Linked DNA regions of Bombyx mori. The protein of the gene in region 2 binds, or shares a complex with, the protein of the main gene of each other region. Links are inferred from orthologs where the notes say so. Each region holds a gene or a part of one and is shown on either strand. Other genes may lie near its edges.

Region 1 (11,532 bases), on a different chromosome or scaffold from region 2:
TTCAAATTTTGATTTTTAGCAGTTTTTTCTTATTTTTTCGCTTGATTTAAGTCCAAATTTTTCACCAGAAATGGTAATAGATGCGGAATTTTAGCGCGCATCCAACGGTGTATAACACTGATTTTTATCACTAAAAACTGATTTTATATTCACAATTTGGTAAAAACACTATTTAACTCAACGATTTTTGGTGTGGCGTGACCGTTCTCGCCTGCGGATCGAACGCGACTGTATAATCAATATTTGGTATAATTTATCTTTCTTCTTGTAACCTTTCATTCCGATGACATCATTTAAAAGTAAACCTATCCTTTACTATGATTGGGGGAGTTCTCAGAAAGTATTTAATACCCTGTGTTTTTTTTTACTTGAGCCTGGCGAATACGCAACGTTTTTATCGCGTATTTGTAGCGAGTTAACGACGTACAATACACTCAGTAACGGTTTTGTTACTTCGAAGGCGAAAACGAAAGCATCGACGAATTGGAGGATCCATTATCAATTAATCGAATGGAAGAGAGCGACTGCTTTGTGTTTTTTGGCAAACGAATAAAAAATAATCCAAAACAGTTTCGCTTCTACCTACGAATGTTAAGAACTACATTTTTTTGAGTTGATGTATCTGATACAAATTTACTATGACATGAAGACACACGGATTGAAGTGAGGCAGGCCGGACTGGTTGGCGTTTTTACATAGAGTTAGTATTTTAGGTACCTACTTATTAACTCCATGCGTTTTTAGGAGACAGTAGACAGTACAAAATGACGTCTACGCTGCGCATGCGCGGCGTGTACGTTGCGCGCCCGCTCCGCTTTAAGAATGATCGCACGAGTATAATAAGTATGATAAGGCCCTAAAATGTGCACTCATTGATTTTTAGATGATGATTCTAATTTTCAATACATTGAAGTCCTATTGTAGTGGTCCCATTGCGAATCTACTGGTTACATAGGTTTTATTATATAGGTTTTACTATTTATGGTATAGGAAATTATTTTAAATGAAATCACAATATGTTCATACATACTGTAAGGTAAAATAAATAAGATAATAAGAATTAATAATAAGATAATAATAATTATTATAATTAAACATGCAGAATAGTAACAAAGTTCCTGCAGCTTGAAGAAAACCAAACTTAGGTACTACACGTAATAAAAACTAGTATATTGACTCATAGCTACCGTATATGACTTGGCCAAAAGCCCGTATATACCTACAGTTCTACCGGCTCTGTCGACAGACTGAACTGAGAAAGGGGAAACCTATGAACGTAATAATAATTAGCAAGATTGACTTGAAAGTTAATACACTTTTTTTTACTCTACCTATGCTGATAGCCTTGAGAGGCTATTTCAGATTCTCCTTGACGTGTGGGTGAGCTCACGAGGCTCAAACCGGAGTGTTGCTAACACTGGTCCTAGCAAGAGCAGTGCTTCGCAGAATCTACCACCGGATCGGAAACGCGACCCACTGAGAAGATCCGGCGAAAAATTCAGTGAGCTGTGTATTTGGGTTACTTTACTCGTAGTCCTTCGTCGCAAGCGAGGACGGTGACCGGTGCTTGAGGTACCTAAAAGCACCGTTAATGGATCGGGAGGATCCGTAATGACGTGTTTAGGGCGACGTCAACTGTATACCATTTGGTCCACAGGATCGGTTATATAATTTCCGTGTGGGACAAGTGTGTTTTTGTGTTGTGCCGCCTTCTCAAAGTGGCGCAATGATGCCACCTTCTCAAAGTGGCGCAATGATGCCGAATGGAATCCGGCTATGGAATGAGCTCCCCTCCACGGTGTTTCCCGAGCGCTATGACATGTCCTTCTTCAAACGAGGCTTATGGAGAGTATTAAGCGGTAGGCAGCGGCTTGGCTCTGCCCCTGGCATTGCTGAAGTCCATGGGCGACGGTAACCACTCACCATCAGGTGGTCCGTATGTCTGTCTGCCTACAAAGGCAATAAAAAAAAAAAAAGAATGTAAATACTGACCGAGTCAAGCTTCACATCATCATGGAGATCCATATTCCTTAAGAACCATGGTGCTCCGATGGCTATCTTACAAAAACGGGTTTGAATGACTTGAAGGGGTTTCAAGTTGGTGCGGGCCGCGTGACCGAACACTACGCTTGCATAGGTCACGACGGGGCGTATGCAAGTTTTGTAGTGTCACCTTATTACGAAGGGACAATTTACTTCGCTTGCAAATCATGTGATAGAGGCGTCCTAATATGAAGGCGGCAGGGTCGCGTACCGTTTTGATATGGGGTCGGAATGTCATCCCTGTCGAGGTGACGCTTAGATATTTGACCTTCGAGGCCCACGGTATGGGCTGGCCAGAGTGATGGGGCTAACGGCGGAGGCGTTAACCCGCCTATTAGGGAGTGGGTTGCTCGAAGTGGTATTCGGAGGGCGATCCCTTTTGGAGAGCATCGCTGTGCTTTTCGTGGGATTGATGTCAATGCGCCACTTCCGGAACCACTGTCCCATAGTGGCTACTACAATCTGGAGTCATTAATACACTGAGGTAGATGGTTACAATACTTTTAATATAATAATTGTTAGTACAATTGCCTCACATAAATCTAAATCCTAAGTATTGGAGTTGTTTATTGAGTAATGGATTTTAGCAGTCAGCCATAATTCACATAAATACTATCTCATATTATCAACTACATTGCACATAATTCTATCTAATTCAAAGCAGGGATCAGCCTTTTGAATATTGCAAGTATTATTTTCCATTTGGTCCAACAATTCATTTGGCACTTTGAAATTTGATTCCAATTCATTTTGATCTGGTAAGCTTTGGAGAGCATTCTGTAAAATATCCTGTACCTTGTCTAAGTGTTTCTTGAATCTGAAAGAACAGACTTTATTAGCTCTTATAACTGGATTAGGTTCCATGGATACCAGCATCTTGTCTATTTTTTGCTTCAGAGAATTCACACATTAAACCAAAGTCAAGCAACAATGGTCCGAATGGAAATTTAACTTGTAAGGTAACAGCTGTCCATCCACAAAAACACGACGATAAACAACAAATAATTTTCGAGTTCAATCTTGTGTTATAATATACTAGGCTGCACTAAAAGTATCGGGAATGGAATATTTCTACTGTTCCTGTCATATTAAAATCTTTTTAATTGAAAACTCCTTGGTTTTAAAAATCGAATACCATTTATTTATTTTAAAAAAGATTCTCGGTCTTGTCACGAGGTTTTGTCAAACTTGTTTAGTCGTTGAGAAAATGGAATTGACTCGAGAAAATTCAAGAGCGATGATTTATTATGACTTTCGAAGTGGTTTAACACAAAAACAGTGTGTTGACCGGATGATTTCTGTATTTGGTGATGAAGCCCCATCCAAAACCACAATTTATCGCTGGTTTGCTGAGTTTCAACGTGGACGTGTCAAGCTCAGTGATGATTCCCTTCAAGGTCGTCCAAAAACTGCAGTCACCCAAGAAAACGTTGATGCTGTGCGTAAGCTGATTGAGGAAGATCGACATGTGACATACCGCGAAATTCAGGCAACTTTAGACATTGGCATGAGTCAAATACAAATAATCTTGCATGAACAATTAGGTGTAAAAAAGTTGTTTTCCCGATGGATACCGCATTCGCTCTGTGAAGAGCAAAAAGCGGCTCGCGTTACTTGGTGCGTCAGAACTCTCGAAAGATTCCACGCAGGATCCTCAAATGCTGTATACAACATTGTATCAGGTGACGAATCCTGGATATACGCGTACGAACCCGAAACAAAAAACCAGTCACGAGTTTGGGTGTTCGAAAATGAGTTAAAGCCAACAAAAATTGTTCGTTCACGGAGTGTTGCAAAAAAAATGGTGGCCACGTTTGTCTCCAAAACCGGCCATGTTACGACTATTCCTCTTGAGGGACAAAGAACGGTTAATGCAGAATGGTATGCTAGCATTTGTTTGCCACAGGTCGTTTCTGAACTCCGTAAAGAGAACTGCAACCGCCGCATCATCCTCCATCACGACAATGCGAGTTCTCACACCGCGCACAGAACAAAAGAGTTTTTAGAGCAAGAAAACATAGAATTATTAGACCATCCGCCGTACAGCCCCGACCTAAGCCCTAATGATTTCTATACTTTCCCTAAAATAAAGAATAAATTGCGTGGACAGAGATTTTCATCACCTGAAGAAGCTGTAGACGCCTACAAAACGGCCATTTTGGAGACCCCAACTTCCGAATGGAATGGTTGCTTCAATGATTGGTTCCATCGTATGGAAAAATGTGTCAAATTTCGCGGAGAATACTTCGATAAGCAATAAATACATTTTTAAATAGTAACTTCGTCACTTCGTTAATTCCCGAAATTTTCAGTGCCGCCCTCGTAGTATCAGTAAACAATATCTGCTAATTTCTTTTTTTTTATATTAAAATATTTTTGTATATTACTCAAAACAGTTCAAATTTGGAAATCTCTAAAAAGTGCAGAGGGCAGATTTTGGTTTGAAAAAGATGATATGACATTATGAATACTAAAATTTTTTTATTGAGACAAGTTTAAGGTTTTTTACTGGTGGTGGTAGGACCTCTTGTGAGTCCGCACGGGTGGGTACCACCACCCCGCCTATTTCTGCCGTGAAGCAGTAATGCGTTTCGGTCTGAAGGGTGGGGAAGCCGTTGTGACTATACTGAGACACCTTAGAACTATAACTCAGGGTGTGTGGCGCATTTGCTTTGTAGATGTCTATGGGCTCCAGTAACCACTTAACACCAGGTGGGCTGTGAGCTCATCCACCCACCTAAGCAATAAAAATAAAAAAAAATTAAACTCATTACAAATCTGATTTTCATTATTCTGCTTCAATATCAAACATTGGGAGAACTTAATATGACTTTGTGTTTAACAGCCTATGGTAAGATTAAACACAATAAATTTATTCAGGTTCTACTAATTATAAATAAATTAACATAACATTGATGGGCAAAATGTCTGGGAATCTCAATCATGAAGGTACTGTGGTAACAGATAAAAATGTCTAATCACTAGTGGCACCTAATGTTTCCAACCAGTGAAAATCCAACCAGTGAAATTTAAATCAGACTTTCACATTACCACCCAATTAAAGATCATATTATAATGTTAAAGCCTAAAATAATAAAGGATAAGTCACACACTTAATGGTTATATCATGTGTGTGGCAAAAACATAACTTAAATATTTATGTTGGCATCTTTTTTATTTTGTCATTTGTGATCTGAGATCTATCTTTATTTTCTAGAATGGTTCCTTGGTGTCCAGTATAGATATAGTAGAAACACCAACATATGACAAATTAACGCTATTAATAGTACCTTGCTGCAGTTTCAACCCTCTGTCTTTTCTGCAATTCCATCATTACTCTCAATGTTTCTCTTGCTTGGTGTGGCCTAAATTCATTTAGAAGATGATGTATATGAATAAATAACAAACTTAGGTCTTCTACTTTTTCTGCTCTCTTTGGAGAATCTGGACAATGAACAAGCAAATCCAACAAATCCAGAAAATTTGCCAGCAGTGAATGGTTAAGTTTCTTCAATTCTCTTCTTCGTTCAAAATGCATAGGATACAATCTTCGAAATCCCTGAAGGAATTTTTTACAACGAATTATTTACATAAACATTTGTGTTTGTAAACTAGTTGTTTTAGGACTTACCTGGCTTTCTAACGAACGTATAATAGCATCATCAGCGTTAAAAGAATTACCAAACATTGAATAAGAATCATGAATAGGTCGAGGTGGTAGAGGAGCTCTATTTCTTCTAACATTTTCATCCGTGTAAAAATTTATATATTGCATTGGAGGCAGAGGTAAAGAGCTAACTTGAGCTGTCTCTGACATTGTGAACCGGGAATCCGTACGTACGATTCTAGCAAACACTTAATAAAAACGGAATATGCCTATATTTACAAAAAAAGATTTACATACTCTTAAATATTGTGTTAAATTGAAGAAATTTATTTTAAAACAACTTTACACACTACAGTATGAAATGTATGAATTATTATGAGCTTTGTCTATGCTTTCTAAAAAATAAGTGTTTAATCTATGCTTTAGTATGCTTTTTTTGTTTGATTGGCCTTATGGATAAGCAAAGGGAACATAGCTCATATATTCCAATTTTTGCCACCAAGGTCGAAGGTGTTGTGAAAGTTAAATGAACTTCAATTTAGAGGTGAGTTTATGACAACACCGTAAGTGTGGACAAAATGAAGTGAAGTAATTTTTCGCTAAAATTCTGAGAATGTACTGAGTGTTCAATGAACCTTTAGAAAAAAAAAATCCCGAACTGATTTTTGTCGAAAGATTTTTGATGTTTTATAACCAAAAAGAAATTTCATGTAAACAATTTGGCTTTTATAAATAAAATAAAAAAGATGTTTTATGGGCTTTGTTCCTTTAGCTTTCGCAAGTCGTGGAGACAATTAACTATTAAGGATGTTACAGGAAAGATTGGCAACAAACTTAGGGGTGGGGTGTGTCTATAAAATCATTTAAAATGGTTTCATAAAATGTATCACACAAGAAAATCAATGAGTAACTAAGATCTGTTAAGTGTATTATAACTTTGCAAGATTCTGGTGTCTGGATTGAGCTGGATCAATTGGATTATAGCAGTAGGCTCTCATACAGAGGACAATATTTTAGGTGTGTGGCGCATTTACGTTATAGATGTCTATGGGCTCCAGTAACCACTTAACACCAGGTGGGCTGTGAGCTCGTCCACACATCTCAGCAATAAAAAATAAAAAAAATTAAAAGGCACATCGCGATTGCGATTAAGTGGATACACGAAACTGCAGTTTGACAGTGTGGCGGGTAGCCATCATACAACGCAAGATGATTGACGGATGCCTGAATCTCGCTTACGACATTTTCAAGATCAGCTTGCTTATATACAAGTTCCGAACAACAACATTCGGACCGTCGGTCTACAGAGCAATTATCACCCGCTCGGTGGAAGATCTTCCCTTTATCGTATATCTACAGTAATAGTTGGCCCTACTGCAAAGCATGCTTTCTGTGGCGGATGCCTAAGTTTCGAGCTCTGCCTTATCTTGAAAATGTCGTAAGCGAGATTCAGGCATCCGTCAATCATCTTGCGTTGTATGATGGCTACCCGCCACAGACAGCATGTTTTGCAGTAGCGCCAACTATTAAGACTTGAAAAAATTCAATTATTCGCTAAAGACAATAAAAGTAGTTTTATTTACATTTCATACGTAATTGTATAACCCAAATAAAAAATGAAAAATGAAATAAAATATCTAATTTAGCAGACCTTTGGCAGGAATTCGGGATGTAAGTTTTATGAATTATTTTATTTGATCTGTATATTTTATATAATTTATAAAAAAATTCTTCAGTTTTAATCCAAGTTAAATTTCTTTTCATAATTAGTTCCATTTAATTTTTCATTAAATAAACATGGTGTGAGATAGGTATGTTTAGATACCAAATAATAATAATAATAATAAGAGTATTTTAGATCGCATAACCGTATGGAGGAGCAAGGAGTTACACGGTAGGTTCTACCGGGCTCTCACAGGGCCTGATGTAGACCAATTAGCTTCCGTGGCCTGGTTACGATTCAGTAACCTCTTTGGGGAAACTGAAGGTTTTATCTTTGCAATTATGGACGAAGTTATCATGACGAACAACTACCGGAAATATATTATATTAAAGGATGGGACGGTCGACATTTGTCGGGCATGCCACCGTCCGGGAGAGTCTATTAGACATATTGTTTCTGGATGTTCTCGGTTTGCTAACGGCGAGTACTTGCATAGACATAACCAAGTGGCTAGGATTATCCATCAACAACTTGCTCTGAAATATGGTTTTCTTGATTCTGCTGTACCTTATTACCAATACCAACCTCAACCAGTTCTTGATAATGGTCATGTTACGCTCTACTGGGACCGATCTATTATCACGGATAGGTATATTGTTGCCAATAAACCTGATATTGTGATAATAGATCGATCTGCACGTCGAGCAGTGTTGGTTGATGTCACCATTCCTCATGACGAGAACCTCGTGAAGGCAGAAAAGGACAAATTAATAAAAAATTTAGACCTGGCCCACGAGACTACCGCCATATGGCATGTTGATTCAACCATCATTGTTCCAATAGTTGTATCGGTACACGGCTTGATAGCGAAAAGTTTCGATCAACATCTTAAAAAACTTTCGTTATCCAGCTGGGTTAAGGGCCAAATACAGAAAGCAGTTATCCTCGATACTGCACGCATTGTGAGGAGGCTTCTCACTCTGGAGTCCTAACCACTGGTGGCTTGTGTCGTAGACACCGCCATCAGCGGCAATCTATTTTTATATAGTGTTTTTAAAAAATTGTATTATTAATATCTTTTTTAAAAAATATTATGTAATTAATAAGATTTTAAATAAATATTAATAAACAATAATAATAATACGAGCCGATTCTTTGGCCTTAGATAATACCGTTAATTGTTTTTGGCTTTAAAACAGAAGACTTGGGGGCTGTATGGGCTACGTTCCTCTCTATCGAATATTTAAATTTAAAATAAAAAACTAAATTATCCTACAGTGTATAATATGTTCCTTTTTTTAGCTATAACTAGCATACCTAGATATAACATATCTAAACGATAGATTAATATTAGATTAAGGTTCCATTGTTAATCGTCATAATCTTTTAGCTAATCAAAGGTCGAAGCTAGCTACCTTCCTTAAAGAATGCACGCGAACACTGTCATTGAACTGAACTGTCACTGAGTTCACACACATTTTTTCACTTTCAATAAACGAAAGAAGATACCACATTTTAATTGGTGATAACAGATGAATAGTTAGTTATGTTTCTTTTGCGCTTATTATTTACATAGATTCTGCAACATTAATGAATTGCAAAAAATATTCTGTTTATGTTCAGTAATGACTGAAGTTCATTTCAATGAATCAAAGTACTATTACTAACTATTATGACTTCAAAAGTACCTACCTGCTCTATTAGTACATTTATTTAAACTAAAAATAATAATTTAGTATTTAAAATAATAATCATAATTATTATTTAAAATATTTATAAATTAAAGGTTAGGTTACTTAAAGTACGGGCATGCATTCGAATTAATTTCTTCGAGTAAACTAATGAGTAATTGAGTATGTTATATTTTTCACATTTCTTACTTCGTTCAGCAACACAGCGAGGCCATATCAGGTGAATGAGTAAGCAAACCTATGACCGCCTTGAGCAAAACCGACCTGTCCATCTCCTATTACGATGGAAACTATCTTTAATCGAGACATGAATCATAGTGCTTACCTCAACTGCCGGTCTTCGAAGTTATCAAAAGCTAGGGTCCTTACTTGGCCGGCAACAAGACAGCCCAGGGCCGTGTTCTATATGTAAATTTTCGATACGAGAGTAGAAAACAAGGCAACTCAACTAGCGCCTCGGCGGGGCGAGTGAGGGAAAGCTCTCCTCACTACGCAGAAACCCGCCGCCGCCGAGCAGGGGGTCGGGACCGGGGTCGTATCCGTGACCTGGCCCCCTAAGAGCTAGGGGTCCCACCCGTTTTGTGTGGGGAGAGACCCAGACGTGGGGTGGCGTGCTTGCACGCTCACCCGCAATAGGAAGCCGGGTGATGGCAGACCGCGTTCCCCCGACCGCTCTGGGGGAAGGTGTAACGCGGCGCCATCAAAGCGGGCTCTCGGCCCGCTGAACGAGGGAACCGGTGGTCGTGTCGCTGGCGGCCACCGGTCCGGCGTCCGTGGGACGGTGGGATGGATGTAATGTGCTCTGCGTCAACCCTGTCCCGCCGTTTCAATAGCCCCGACTGGGCTCCGGCCCGGTCCGAGGTAGGGCGCCGGTTGTGAGCGGCAGGAGTTTTTAGTGAGGTTCAACTCCCACATACCCCACCTGCCGCGCGGGTGGGGATCCGGCGATTTTCTCCTGTGGGAAAAAAAAAAAAAAAAAACTCAACTAGTGCCTACGGCGAACCGTGTACTACGAAATTTGTATGGAATAGGAACAGCTTCCCTTCGTTTGCCGCTAGGGGCGTTGTTCCAACTCCATACAAATATGAGTTAACTTTTACGCAATCGAGAAGTTGAAAAACTCGCACTAAGTAGACAGGTTGTGGAATATTCAATCCCAACATATCCACGCATCCATTGTAAGCAAAGACCCACATCTATTAATTTCTCAGATCAATAGGTATGGGGCAATCCTGATTTCACACTGCTTTCTGATTTGGAAATTAATACTTTAAGCCAGTTCTTTACATTGCCGTGTCGCTCAACCTTGACAGGACTGTTCAATTAAACAGCTCGAGTTATCTTTTCAACATTTTCAAGTATAATTTATTTTAATGTGTACCTAACTTTTCGTTCAATGTTTTTCAGCGATTACCTTGCGGCATTAAGAGATACATCTTATCAGTTATTTCCAATGCTGTTGTCTGTGTCAACCCTATTATAATGGTAGCTATAGGTATTATTCTTCCGGCTATTGTTTTAGAATTACCCTTGATTAAAACGGCTGTCTGGAAGATATTACTTTTTCTAATGTGGGAGCCCCTTATACGAATTATATTTTTTTTGCCGCACTGCGCTTAGGTAACACGTGGGACTTTGGGACTACAGTCCATTAGAACTGCAGTTCCGTATCACTGCTGTCATACAGTAAAGTGCGCTTTATTTTGCGTGTGCATTTTATTTTCTTTAGCAGCGAATAATTGATTTTTTTCAAGTCTTAATGGTTGGCCCTGCTGCAAAGCATGTTGTCAAACTGCAGTCCCGTGTATCCACTTAAATTGACATTCGCAATTTTTAGTTTGTCCTCTGTATGAGAGTCTACTGCTACAATCCAGTTCAATCCAGACACCAGAATCTTGCAAAGTTATAATACACGAGGCTGCATGGCCTCACCCCATCAGGTTGCCCTGTGATCTTCACCGGGTGGAGGCCGACTCATACAAATAAAGAAGCTGGACCAAAGGCCTACTCCGCCCCCGGCATGGTGACGATGGATCATTGCGGAGAAGGATGAACTCTTCCTCTTTGGTTCCGCCACTTCATTCTGCGAGATGGTGGACTCGGAGAAATCTAGCATCGTTATTTAGATTCGTTGCTGCCGTGTATCGTAGCCATGATGGTCGGCAACTTCAATTCGGGTCTTATTTGCGCGATTCACTGTCGGCTTCCTCTGGGCAATGTGGTGCAGGTACCGGCCGAAACACCCATAGCCAGTCAGTACCGGCATTAACCGGAAGGTGAAACATCCTCGGTCACAGTTCATCACGGTGCGAGGAATGGGCGCACCGCCTCGATGGTCCGTAGACCGTAAGAGCAAATTACACCAACCTTTTGACTTACTTTCAAAGCTAATTATGTTTTGGTTTGCAATAAACTCTATTTTTTTTATTACATGAGTGGATGTGCCCCTGCAAGTGGCAAAAATGGCCCTCTATTTTTGCGTTTACGGAAGCCTTTATAAAGAGAATGTTACCTCAACCTTAAAATAT
Region 2 (11,326 bases):
TGGACATATACCGGTTTCTCTGGCTTGTCTCTGCTGCAGACGAGTATCGAGCATTTCTTGCAGGTTTATCACGTCCAAACGGGTCGCCGGAGTAGAAGAAATCTACAATATAACGGTAACAAATGAACTTTAATATTTTTATCCATTTAATTAGTGAATACTCCGTTCTTGGTGGTACTGGTTGTAGGACCTCTTGTGAGTCCGCACGGGTAGGTACCACCGCCCTGACCATTTCTGCCGTGAAGCAGTAATGCGTTTCGGTTTGAAAGGTTGTATAAGTAGATCTTAGAACTTATAAGAATATTATATTTATTATTATATTTAAAAAACTCTCCACGAGACAGGCAGTGCCTAGTGTGGAGAGTTTTTAGCAAACTGTTATGTGTAAATGTATCAAGGTTAATAAATAAATTATTATTATTATTATTATATATTTTAGTTATATCTCAAGGTGGGTGGCGCATTTACGTTATAGATGTGTATGGGCTCCAGTAACCACTTAACACTAGGTGGGCTGTGAGCTCGCCAACCATCTAAAAACTAAACCTCAGAACCATTGAAACGTTCTACAAACGATCATTAAGTGTTTTCTGTGTAGCGCCCTTTCTGTCTTCTTGGCGTGCCCGGGGCCTACTGGTGGTATCAACAGTTTACCATAAATTGGGCCGTCAAGTTCAAGTCTGTCTGTCTTTATTTTACAGCTGCAAATTGTAGTACCTTTTGTGTCCATATTTGTCCATCTTCCTCCCATTCTTTCGGGGGTAAAATAGCATTTAAGATCTCTTCAGTTTCTTTCTTTGCTTCGGTGGGTACGCACGGTTGTGTTGAAGCGCCAGCTCTCGGGGAAGGCTGTGTAAAACATTTTTATTATAAAATGAACATTATTTTTTTATTAACGAAGATCCTTTGATAAATCAAAAATCTTACAACTTTTTCCTGTCTTTTAGTCACCAACACTGGGTTGTCGTAACGGACTAACGTCTCTTCTGCAGATACCGGTGCCCGTTCTCCCATTTCCGTTTGTTTTTGTTGCAAAATACCTATTTGACTTTTTGAGAAGTCACGGTTATCGTGGCAGTAATCAAATTAAAACGTAGTGATTCTAAAATTCTCTCTGACAAATTGTCAAGCAAAATGTTATTTCCATAGCAACGGCTCTTAGCATCTGCCTAGTATTTTATACTTTTTTAATAATCTTTATAACCTACTAGTACTGGTGGTAGGACTCTTGTGAGTCCGCGCGGGTGTGTACCACCACCCTGCCTATTTCTGCCGTGAAGCAGTAATGCGTTTCGGTTTGAAGGCTGGGGCAGCCGTTGTAACTATACGTAGATCTTAGAGCTTAAATCACAAGGCGGGTGGCGCATTTATGTTGTTGATGTCTATGGGCTCCAGTAACCACTTAACACCAGGTGGGCTGTGAGCTCGTCCACCCACCTAAGCAATAAAAAAACCTAGTAACCTTACGTTTCCCTAGTAAAAAGTGTATCTTATTTAATGTGATATAAGTATAAAAACTGCTATATTATGGACGACTGCATCGGTCTTCCAAACGAAGATGTACATACCTACGTTATCAATGCTTGCGCGGATGACATTGTGGGGTATTTATTTTAAAAAACCTACGTCCTTAGCGATAGCTAGGCCATAGATAAGACATTTAAAATGGGAGCTACTCTTCTCAAAGCACTTGTTGGCCATAGAATAGACTACAGCGAAGCTTGATATTATCAGGTCGACATAAGTGTCAATTTAATTTGTGTACATGTACGTGTTGGTGATAATAGAAATGAAACGGTTAATGACTTAGAATGAGCTCTGAAAAAGTAATCATAGCAATTAGGCTGCGAACCGTGTATCCAAATTACAACGAAGATCGTTCATAGTACACTGAGGGACTGCGAAACCAAATTTACCATGGAATGCAATACACATTACATGAACTTTCTGGTTGAAACGAATATAGATAAAGCCATAAGTTTTTGAAAGTCAGCTTAGACATTCACTTAGGCCACCACCAAGATATTTTCATAAAATCGAACATTGCGAGTTAACGAGCTATCAGGAATACCTAGTAATTTTTTTTATTGCTTAGTTGGATGACGAGCTCACAGCCCACCTGATGTTAAGTGGTTACTAGAGCCCATAGACATCAACAACGTAAATGCGCCACCCACCTTGTGATATAAGTCATATAAGTTCTAAGATCTACGTATAGTTACAACGGCTGCCCCACCTTTCAAACCGAAACGCATTACTGCTTCACGGCAGAAATACGCAGGGTGGTGGTACCTACCCGCGCGGACTCACAAGAGGACCTTCCACCAGTAATAAAATAAATGTTAAAGTACTAAATCCTAGGGGCAATAGTATCCGGACTAAGTTGTCTTAAAGCTCCAAACACTTATACAACTCCTATGAGTAGTATTAGTTGTAATATATTCCGGTGCTATCGGGCCTCGTGATCGTTGATATATTTTACCTACCCATTCGTTGGTAGCCTAAGGGGCTATTCCAGGAACGCGCGGACGTGTATGAGTTCACTGGCTCCACCTGAGAGAGTTTGCCAACACTGGCCCTGGCAAGAGCAATGTTTCGTTAAAACCTACAGGATCAGAATCGCAACCCACTGAGAAGAACTGACGAGAAACTGTTTGGGTTATGTCAACAGGCTAGTTCGCACTTCCAACTCTTAATCGCAGAGTTCGCGTGCATAGATATCGAAAAATAAATTTGGAGGTTAAATTTTTGTTCAAATATAACAAAACGATTATGTGGAATAAATTTTTTTATTATGTCATTTCTATGAGGATATTTAAATAACATTTGAATTAATTCTACAAATATTTTTTTCATAATAAACACAAGCATCAGTCTTTTTAACTTGTTGAGTTGCACTACACTTTTAATCAAAATGAAGTCCACGGTTTTTCTGTATTCATTGTGAATCACTACTTGAACTTGAACTGGAGTCTGTGGACATAACTTCAACATCTTCTTGGTTGGGAGCATCCTTCCCTCGGCCATCAATAGCTACAGAGTTACCGCCTCCAACAGACATGTGTAGCTCGCCTGATGGATGCCAAGTGAATTGGCTTGAAGCTGAAGCTGGTACTGAAATAATATAACACAGTAAACCTGATTAACAAGCAAATGGTTTTACATGTTTTTTTTACCTAATGCAATTAACAAAAGGGTAAAATGTTTCTGTAAAATTCTGATGATAAGAATATTCTTAAATAATTTCCATGGGTTATGGGTTTTGAAGGAAGCCTCTGTTGACAATATTAATAAAAAGAGGTGGCAATAACATAGGAGATTTTTTTTATTCTTTACAAATCCTATAGAAATTTGATCATTAATTCAACTTTCCTGAAAAATATTATTCTTGTATATTTGAGTTTAATACAGTGGTCCAAAACATGATATATCTGCCAAAGCACTTGCTGAGTAGTTTAGGTGTTTGGTGTTCCCTATCACCCACTTCTCTCATAGCTATTAATAACTATGATAATACATGCTTATTGTAGATGAATCAAATTAACTATAACGATAAAGTACCAATACTAGAATTGTATAAATATGTACTGCACAAAGAGTTCTATACATATGCAACTTGTTCTAAGAATGATTCATTAATATAATGAGTAATGCATTTATACCTCCACCAGTTGTTATACGATGAAGTTCATTCAGTGTAGAAGGCGTGTGACCATTCAATGGCAGATCACAGAGGCGACCGAGCATTCCTAATCTCATTTCTAAATCAGTTGGATAAGGCCGACGAGGATCACCAGGTTGCCACGACAAAGGTGCGCTGACAGCATTAGATGCACTTATTCTGTAAAATATCAGTAAGTCAAAAAAAGTTTTTTTAAGTACTATTTAGTTCTCACATCAAAAATAGTGTACTGTCTAATATTTAAAAATTCTTTTTAATGTAATTTAATTAAAGTGTAACTCTATAGTTATGAAAGAAACTGTTTTCTGTAGATAGTTATTTTCATAACATTGTTGGCTATTCAGACACAATACCTAATATCCATTCAGACTTTTTGCATTAATAAACTTAATCAACTGTTAATATACTAAACATCTCATTGATTTATTTGTTAGTCAATGTGCCTACTATCATTGTCTCACTGTTGTCATTGGTCAGGTTTGAAATCTCTGTTGAGATCATAAATATTTAATATTCAATATTTAGGAGTACTCATCATGTGTTTTAAGGACCTGACTCAGAAAAAATATTTAATTTCAATGTAGAAATCTTTAATTGTTTACTAACCTGTGTGCAAATTTGATCAACTCCTCAGAGGGTACAGGTCTCTTTCTAGACTTCACTATTGATGCAAGTTTCTGTCGAGCTTGATACAGTGATGTAGCCAGAATTTGTTCTGCATCTTTCAATTGTCTTTGAAGGTGATATATATCTTGATCCTTAGTAACACAACAAAAACATTTCAATTACATAATTCGCTTGTGGCTTAAATTGTTGTGAACTAGCAGTGGATGAGTCAGTCCACTCCAAAATTTTATCCATTTTTTACTTAAAATAAATCTCTTTTGTAGTATTTACCTTACTATCTACTTCAGCTTTGAGTTCATTCATTTTCTGTTGGATCTTTGCTTGTTCGTCAGCTAGGTCTAATGTTTTTTTCAATTCTCCATGTTTTGATAGAAGTAGGTCCGTCAACTGAGCATGATCTGCAGCGGACACTTTCTGTGGTTTTGGTGCTATGGAAACTTCTATTATTTCCCTGAAAATTTAAAGAATTAGAACATGAAGTTGATCGGTAATGTTTTCCACAGTTCAATCGTGTTTTAACTCACTTAGCAATAAGTTCGATATCATCTATTAGTGCCAATAAGCGATCTTTAGTACTTAAATGTGACGCCATAGCTCTATATAGCTTAACAGCTTTTTTTAATATAAACGATATGTATTATTTCCTTATATCATATGAACTGGACAAACGACCCCCCAACGCTGCGACTCTTGGGATTTCTTGTATCAAAAACGCTACTATGTACGTGGTAACTACATTCAATGTTTACAGTAAAAATAATAACATTGTTTGATGTTTCCAATACAGCAGACGACAAACGTGAAAGTCATAGACTATGTTCCACAGCAAGCACAGACTAATAATTAGTAGAGCCTTGAAATATTTTTCTCTATGATATAGAGAAACTTATTCTCGTACTTTTACAGTTTTTCTAGTTTTAAAGTGAGTTTCAGTATAATTTATATCTACAAACTTTGTTTTATAAGGCCGTAGCCTATTTACGTTATAAGAAATAAAATAAAATTTACTACTGGTAACGAGATGAGATGATTTACTTTTTCTTATGAAGATGGGTGAATGACCTCAAGGCCTATTAGTAGTTACCGGAGCTTAAAGACATCACAAAGTGATTGCTGCCCCCAACTTTAACTTCACTTTTCTATTTTACACTATAAAGTGTGTTCCACCCTTTAAATCAGAATGCATGATTACTTGGCGGCAGAAATACACAGTACGCTGGTACCTACCCATGTAGAGTATTGTAGAGTCTAGTTATTATGATATGATCTCTCAGTAAAATCGTGTTTATTTCCTGAGACGTTAATTGAAAGACTCCGAAAAACCACATGTAGCGATTTCGTTTCATTTTTCTACCCGTTGTGCACTTTCATGAATTTGAACATCGTTTGGTCATCATTCATCGTTCTCGTTGAACCCATCGCTTGCGACGAAGGCTCGGCTAGTAAAATAACCCACAAATAAAGCCCACTGAATTTCTCGCCGGATCTTTTCAGTGGGTCGCGTTTCCGATCCCGTGGTAGATTCTGCAAAGTATTGCTCTTGCTAGGGTTAGTGTTAGCAACGTCGTCAGGTTAGATCCCCGTGAGCTCACCTACTTAATAAGTTACACTGACATAGCTCTCAAGCTTAGATAAAAAAAAACCATTTCACAGGTTCAGAATATTTGTCAGAAGAAATACAATATTGGTGTAATAAAAATATTCTCAAAATAAAGGACATCTGATTCCATCAAAATTATTGAAACACTGCACAAAAAAAATTATTCTATTAATTATTAGACTTGCGAATACTGAAAAAGGATTGAAAGATTGTGATATTGATTGTTATGGTTTATTTATAATTCGTAATTATTGGCGGTATAGCGTAGGTTGTAGATACGTATCTACGACCAAGCTTCCTATTATTGCCACCTACCAGTTATTCGTTTCGGTATAAAGGGCAAGATAATAGACAAAACAGTTGAGACTTCGAATCCTTAATTCAATCAAAATGGATGGTTACTTACACGCTGTGATGCTCATATTATATCTTCCGATAATCAGTCAATACGGAGTTAAAGAATGGTGTTGTTAGGATGTCTTGTGAGTCCGCACGGGTAGGTACCACCATCCTGCCTATTGCTACCGTGAAGCAGTAATGCGCTTCGGTTTGAAGGGTGTGGCTGACGTTATACTGTTAAAACTGAGACCTTCAAACTCATGTCTCAAGGTGGGTGGTGGCATTTACGTTGTACATATCTATAGACTCCGGTAACCACTTAACACCGAGTGGGGCGTAAAGCTCGTCCAACCATCTAAGCAATAAAAAAAATATGTTAGATTGCATTTCACGAACTTGCAATAGGAGAACTTACAATGCAAAAGCAGACTTGCCTTGCACTCTCTCGAGATCATAAATTTCGGGCTTCAGTTGATTTATTGCTAGAGCTCCGTACAAAAAAATTTGCTAAAATTCATAAAAATAGATTCTCATTTTTAGTGCTATTGTGTTAGGAATTACTATCAATAACACCTGTCTTTATTTTCCCAACCGGTTCCAATACTCCTTACTTAATAAAGTTATTAATTATCCTTTACTTCATTTAAGAATATGTCAAATAAATACTCGTAATCATAACAGGGTTTATTTAGGAGTTTAAACCTCGCATAAGTGTTTTTATAAAAAATTGTACTACCGTTTGATTTAAACATTTGATTTTGGTACAGTTAGCAATAGACAGAAGGGTCTAAATACCGTCTATGCAAATATAAACTTAGTGGCAATCGGAAGTAATTTGAACCAACCTGGCTAAACTATTTTTTTTATCGATCCTCCGTAGTATTTGTATGCTCATGACAGATTCATGTATAGCCCATTGAATTTGTTTCATTCGAACTTACTTTCAATGTAGCTTACGCAATAGATCTGTAGATGAATTCGACATAATACTTGAAATTATAATACAATATGTCAAAGAATTATATTATTATGTTGTTGTTTATGATGCATTTTAAAGAAACCTATGATTACACATCCTCGTATTAATTTATCAGTGTGCAAGTTAGCATTCGCAATTTCAAACCTGATGCAATTTCCAGTAAAACCTAATATTATGGTAAACAAAAGAACACTCTCTTGAATGCGTTTGCAAGTTCACAGAAACCGGCTTGAACACGCTGTGAACGCGTGATCAGCTGGTACAAGGGACGTGAGAGGGAGGAGGGGAAAGTTGCATTCGACGAAGCCTGAGGGGGGATTGAACACGCTATGAGCATGCGTACAGCACGTGCTCGTGGACATTTGTTAGTGTGCCATGGTAATTAAATATAAAGAAAATTAGAGTTTTACTGTACACATTGTAACGTGGATTGTGGTCATGAAAAGTTTTGTTTAAATGACAATAGTACAGAATTTGGTTCAAATTAAGAGTTTTGTCAGGTTTGGGAATATTATGGTCAGACTTATATTGAAATGAACGAAAACGTCAACAGTCATTAATTTCATATCAATGAGCTTGGACACCGACAACTAATTAAGCCCAAGCGGGTTGAAAGTTATTTTATCAACTTAGGGCAGGCCCACAGTAAAATTAAATGTATCACATATTATTAACACGGCAATAAAGACCCTATGAGCTGTAAAACCACAGTGTAAATTATATTAATATCAAGTGAACAAAATTCAAGAATCTTTAATTTCTATTTGTTTCGATGAATAGCAAGACAGATATTAAAGTATATTTATCATTATAAATTTAATTCATAAATACATCATTGAAACGAATAATAGTTTTTCTGATCTTTGAAAATTAATCATACCTTACTTACTGTATCATGATTAATCTGTGGCAAAGTTTCTATAGAATGGCGTCACACGGGGAATGAAGTGTGCGCGGGGAGGGAGAGCAGTACATTTGTGTAGCGAATAGCGATTCGATCGTCAGCTTGACTTCGAAGTGGAAGTACGTAACTGAGTAGTTCCAGTCCGAGTTTGGCAGTAGAGGTGAAATTGGCTCCTCTGCCAATCTAATGGAACAGCGCTTTTTTGAGCAAGTGTCGTCTGCGATCGTGTTAAACAAATCAAACATTCGCCATAAGCGCGACAATTGTCGTAAACAACAAATACTGTTACTACTATTATGTTGTTTAAACGGATCATTGAAGGAAAGTCCGTGTTGAATGCCGACACCAAGAATAAGGTTCCAGAGAGATGTTCTAGAAGAAAGTCGGAATGTGAAGGATGTGGTGAACATTCCACGTAAGTATACCTTCTTCATTAACGAAGATGGTATCTTAAGGTGTTATGAAATAGAATAATATTCAATTTCTATTTAATTTTACTTGAATTATTTATTAACCGGCGTACTCCGTTAGCAATGAAAATAAAATAGCACAGTTGAGAAGTAGGTAACTACGCTTCGCCTTATGCTCAAATTGGTCATCTACAACATTAAAATGCACAATTTAACTGCAAAAATGCATGAAATGTATTACAACACGCCTGCTATTTTTGGCCTCAACCATAATATTATTATAACGATCGGTGAATGTTCCTCGTGTTTTCTTATTTAAAAATGAATAATATTTGTACCTGATTTTTTACTGGGTGTATGAATTTTTGTAAGATATGGATTATACTTACCTAACTATATTTACCGTGAAGAAATCATGCGTTTTGGTTTCAAAGGTAGGTCAGCCGTTACACAATGAAATTTAAACTTCGACGATTAGGCATTGCTGTGTCCGTGGACTCTGGTGGTAACCATTTAACACCAGGTGGACCGTTCAATCCTCTATGCAATACAAAAAAACCTATGCAACTATATCTACGATATTGAGATTACGTTATATAAAATATTCTCACTACTATTTCGTAGTGCGCAAGGTCAAAAGGGAAAAAGATATTAACCTAATTACTAGTTTTGTAATACAGTAGGTACAAACAACATAACAATGTAGTGAGGAACGCGAGAATGTTATCATTATAATATTTCGTGAACTCAGTTAATGTTAGCATAACCAAAAGTAGCAAGTAGTTTTTTTCGTTTTTTAGACTGCATTATATTATACTTGTGTTCTACTGTTGTAGGCTAGAAAACCATTTAGTGAATAAAAACATAATTTAAAATTTACGCGGGAAAAATTACATTTAATAGAGTTTTATCTCAAAAGTTTTTTTTTTGTGATTAAAAAACGATGTGTTTGACAATATTTTAAACAAATGTAAACTCATTTCTGGTAATGTTAATTCAGTTTATGTTGTCCAAGCATTTATGAAATTAGCAAAATTATAATTTTTGATTGACTTCTTTGGCCCGCCTGATGGTGAGTGGTCGCCCATGAACGTCAGCAATACCAGGGTTACAGAAAAGAGGCCGTACACCCCATAGTACTCTTTTCGAATTTCATTTGAAGATCCTCAGTTTAGTTTAGAGTTAATGGTGCCCGGGAAAATATTATGTTTGGAATCGTATCGCGCAATGGTACCACGTACGGTCTTTGTACTAGTGAGGAATGGAGTATTAGTAAAATGGAGATGACGGGATATACAATTATTCACGCAGTTATTATATCTATAGAAAAAAAGTAAGAAATAAAAACATTAGTGGTTAAGTCGAAATAAATAAAAAATTAAGATTGGGCCAATCCAATGGGCTCCGTAATCAGAATGAAAATTCAAAGTTAAAATTCAAATTAAATCTGCATATTAACTTATTCAAAATATTTCTCGAATTTTTAAGCCGAATGTACAAAATTGTTGTGGGGCATAATGGGCTGCATGCAACTTTTGTCATGCAGTCATGTATTCAAAGGGCGGTAAAGCCATTGGACTTAAAAATTGAGTTTTCGACCTTTATGTCTAAATGCAGTAGGTAGTAATTGTTATAATGTCTAAAGGCTCTATAGCCCTGTGAGGATGGGCGTTTGTTCTGCCTATCTAAATTAAAAAAATAAGAAAAACTCCTACCCCTATCTTACTTCTTACCGCTAAGTAACGATTTGCACATTTACCCTTCATAAATATCTATAATCTCTAAGTGAAATGGCTTGTTTATGACCAGAAATGTTAATTCGAGAAAAAAATATACAGGTAATGCGTAACACGGAAACAAAAATACGAAGCTACAATAATATGTGTCTACGTAATACTCACATTCTTTGTCATAAAGGCATTGAATGTAAAATGTAGTATAAAAGTCACCAGAATAGTAAAATATTGTACATATTGCTAATTTTTGTGTCTGTAGAACACATATTATATTTCTATAGAAAGCTAATATTACATTTATAGCATTTAATCAAAGGTAAAATTGTAAAATCTAGTTAAATAGAAAAATCCCTAAGTTTTAGTTTTGTTTTTCACATTATTAATATGAGTAATAATCGACTTCCGTAAAATTAATGTGTGAACTTTTTGGTAAGAGTCAAATCGAGATTTTAATTCGGTCTCACACGTAGTTTAAAAGTATGTATATATTTTTTACTAAACACTTGAGCATTTGAAAACCAAGTTATATGCATGTTAAGCAGATGAAGAGTTAGTAACCCAACGCTCAAGTATAGGTTTACCATACGCGCAAAAACAGGTTTCTTTGCAATCAACATCTATTTTTATTTCATTCCCAGAAGGACTAGACTCGTCTTGAATTAGCAACTAGTTAGAGCTATTTGTTTAATAATCTTGATTTATAGTTATCTATATAAGTAAATTTTAAAAGTGATCTAATGTAAAAGTAAATCGGTGGTTTATTTTATCCATAAAACGATATATACTCATTATTTGTATGGCCTCTTTGTTATAATATAAATTGTATAATTGTAAACAAGCTCCAAGGAAAGCAAACTATTATTTTTTTAAAACTGTTCTTTATTCCATTGTTTAAATAACATTAGCGAGTGTACGTACATATACCTAATCATTCGGGTTGTAATAGACCATAATATTTCCTGTAAAATTGTAAACATGTTTACTTCATTTACTTAGTATTTCTCAGTACCGTTGGATTTACACTATAAAAATATAAATTGGCCGTAGAT

The links. Proteins that work in one complex are often made in the same cells at the same time.
Region 1: mediator of RNA polymerase II transcription subunit 4 (region 2) and mediator of RNA polymerase II transcription subunit 7 share a complex: the UniProt entries of both Homo sapiens proteins name them as parts of the mediator complex. The link is inferred for Bombyx mori from reciprocal best matches to the Homo sapiens genes MED4 and MED7.

Annotation. Positions count from the first base shown.
Region 1 is NC_085119.1:10,076,807-10,088,338, reverse strand, and holds mediator of RNA polymerase II transcription subunit 7, read right to left. Parts: upstream 6,061-11,532; 5' UTR 5,861-6,060; coding exon 5,675-5,860; intron 5,603-5,674; coding exon 5,334-5,602; intron 2,861-5,333; coding exon 2,656-2,860; 3' UTR 2,529-2,655; downstream 1-2,528. UniProt on the Homo sapiens protein: Component of the Mediator complex, a coactivator involved in the regulated transcription of nearly all RNA polymerase II-dependent genes.
Region 2 is NC_085112.1:8,187,226-8,198,551, forward strand, and holds mediator of RNA polymerase II transcription subunit 4, read right to left. Parts: upstream 5,158-11,326; 5' UTR 4,902-5,157; coding exon 4,834-4,901; intron 4,761-4,833; coding exon 4,580-4,760; intron 4,441-4,579; coding exon 4,289-4,440; intron 3,842-4,288; coding exon 3,663-3,841; intron 3,115-3,662; coding exon 2,939-3,114; 3' UTR 2,771-2,938; downstream 1-2,770. Other genes in the region: putative inner dynein arm light chain, axonemal, read right to left, coding at 1-102, 718-849, 928-1,014; peroxidase, read left to right, coding at 8,428-8,546. UniProt on the Homo sapiens protein: Component of the Mediator complex, a coactivator involved in the regulated transcription of nearly all RNA polymerase II-dependent genes.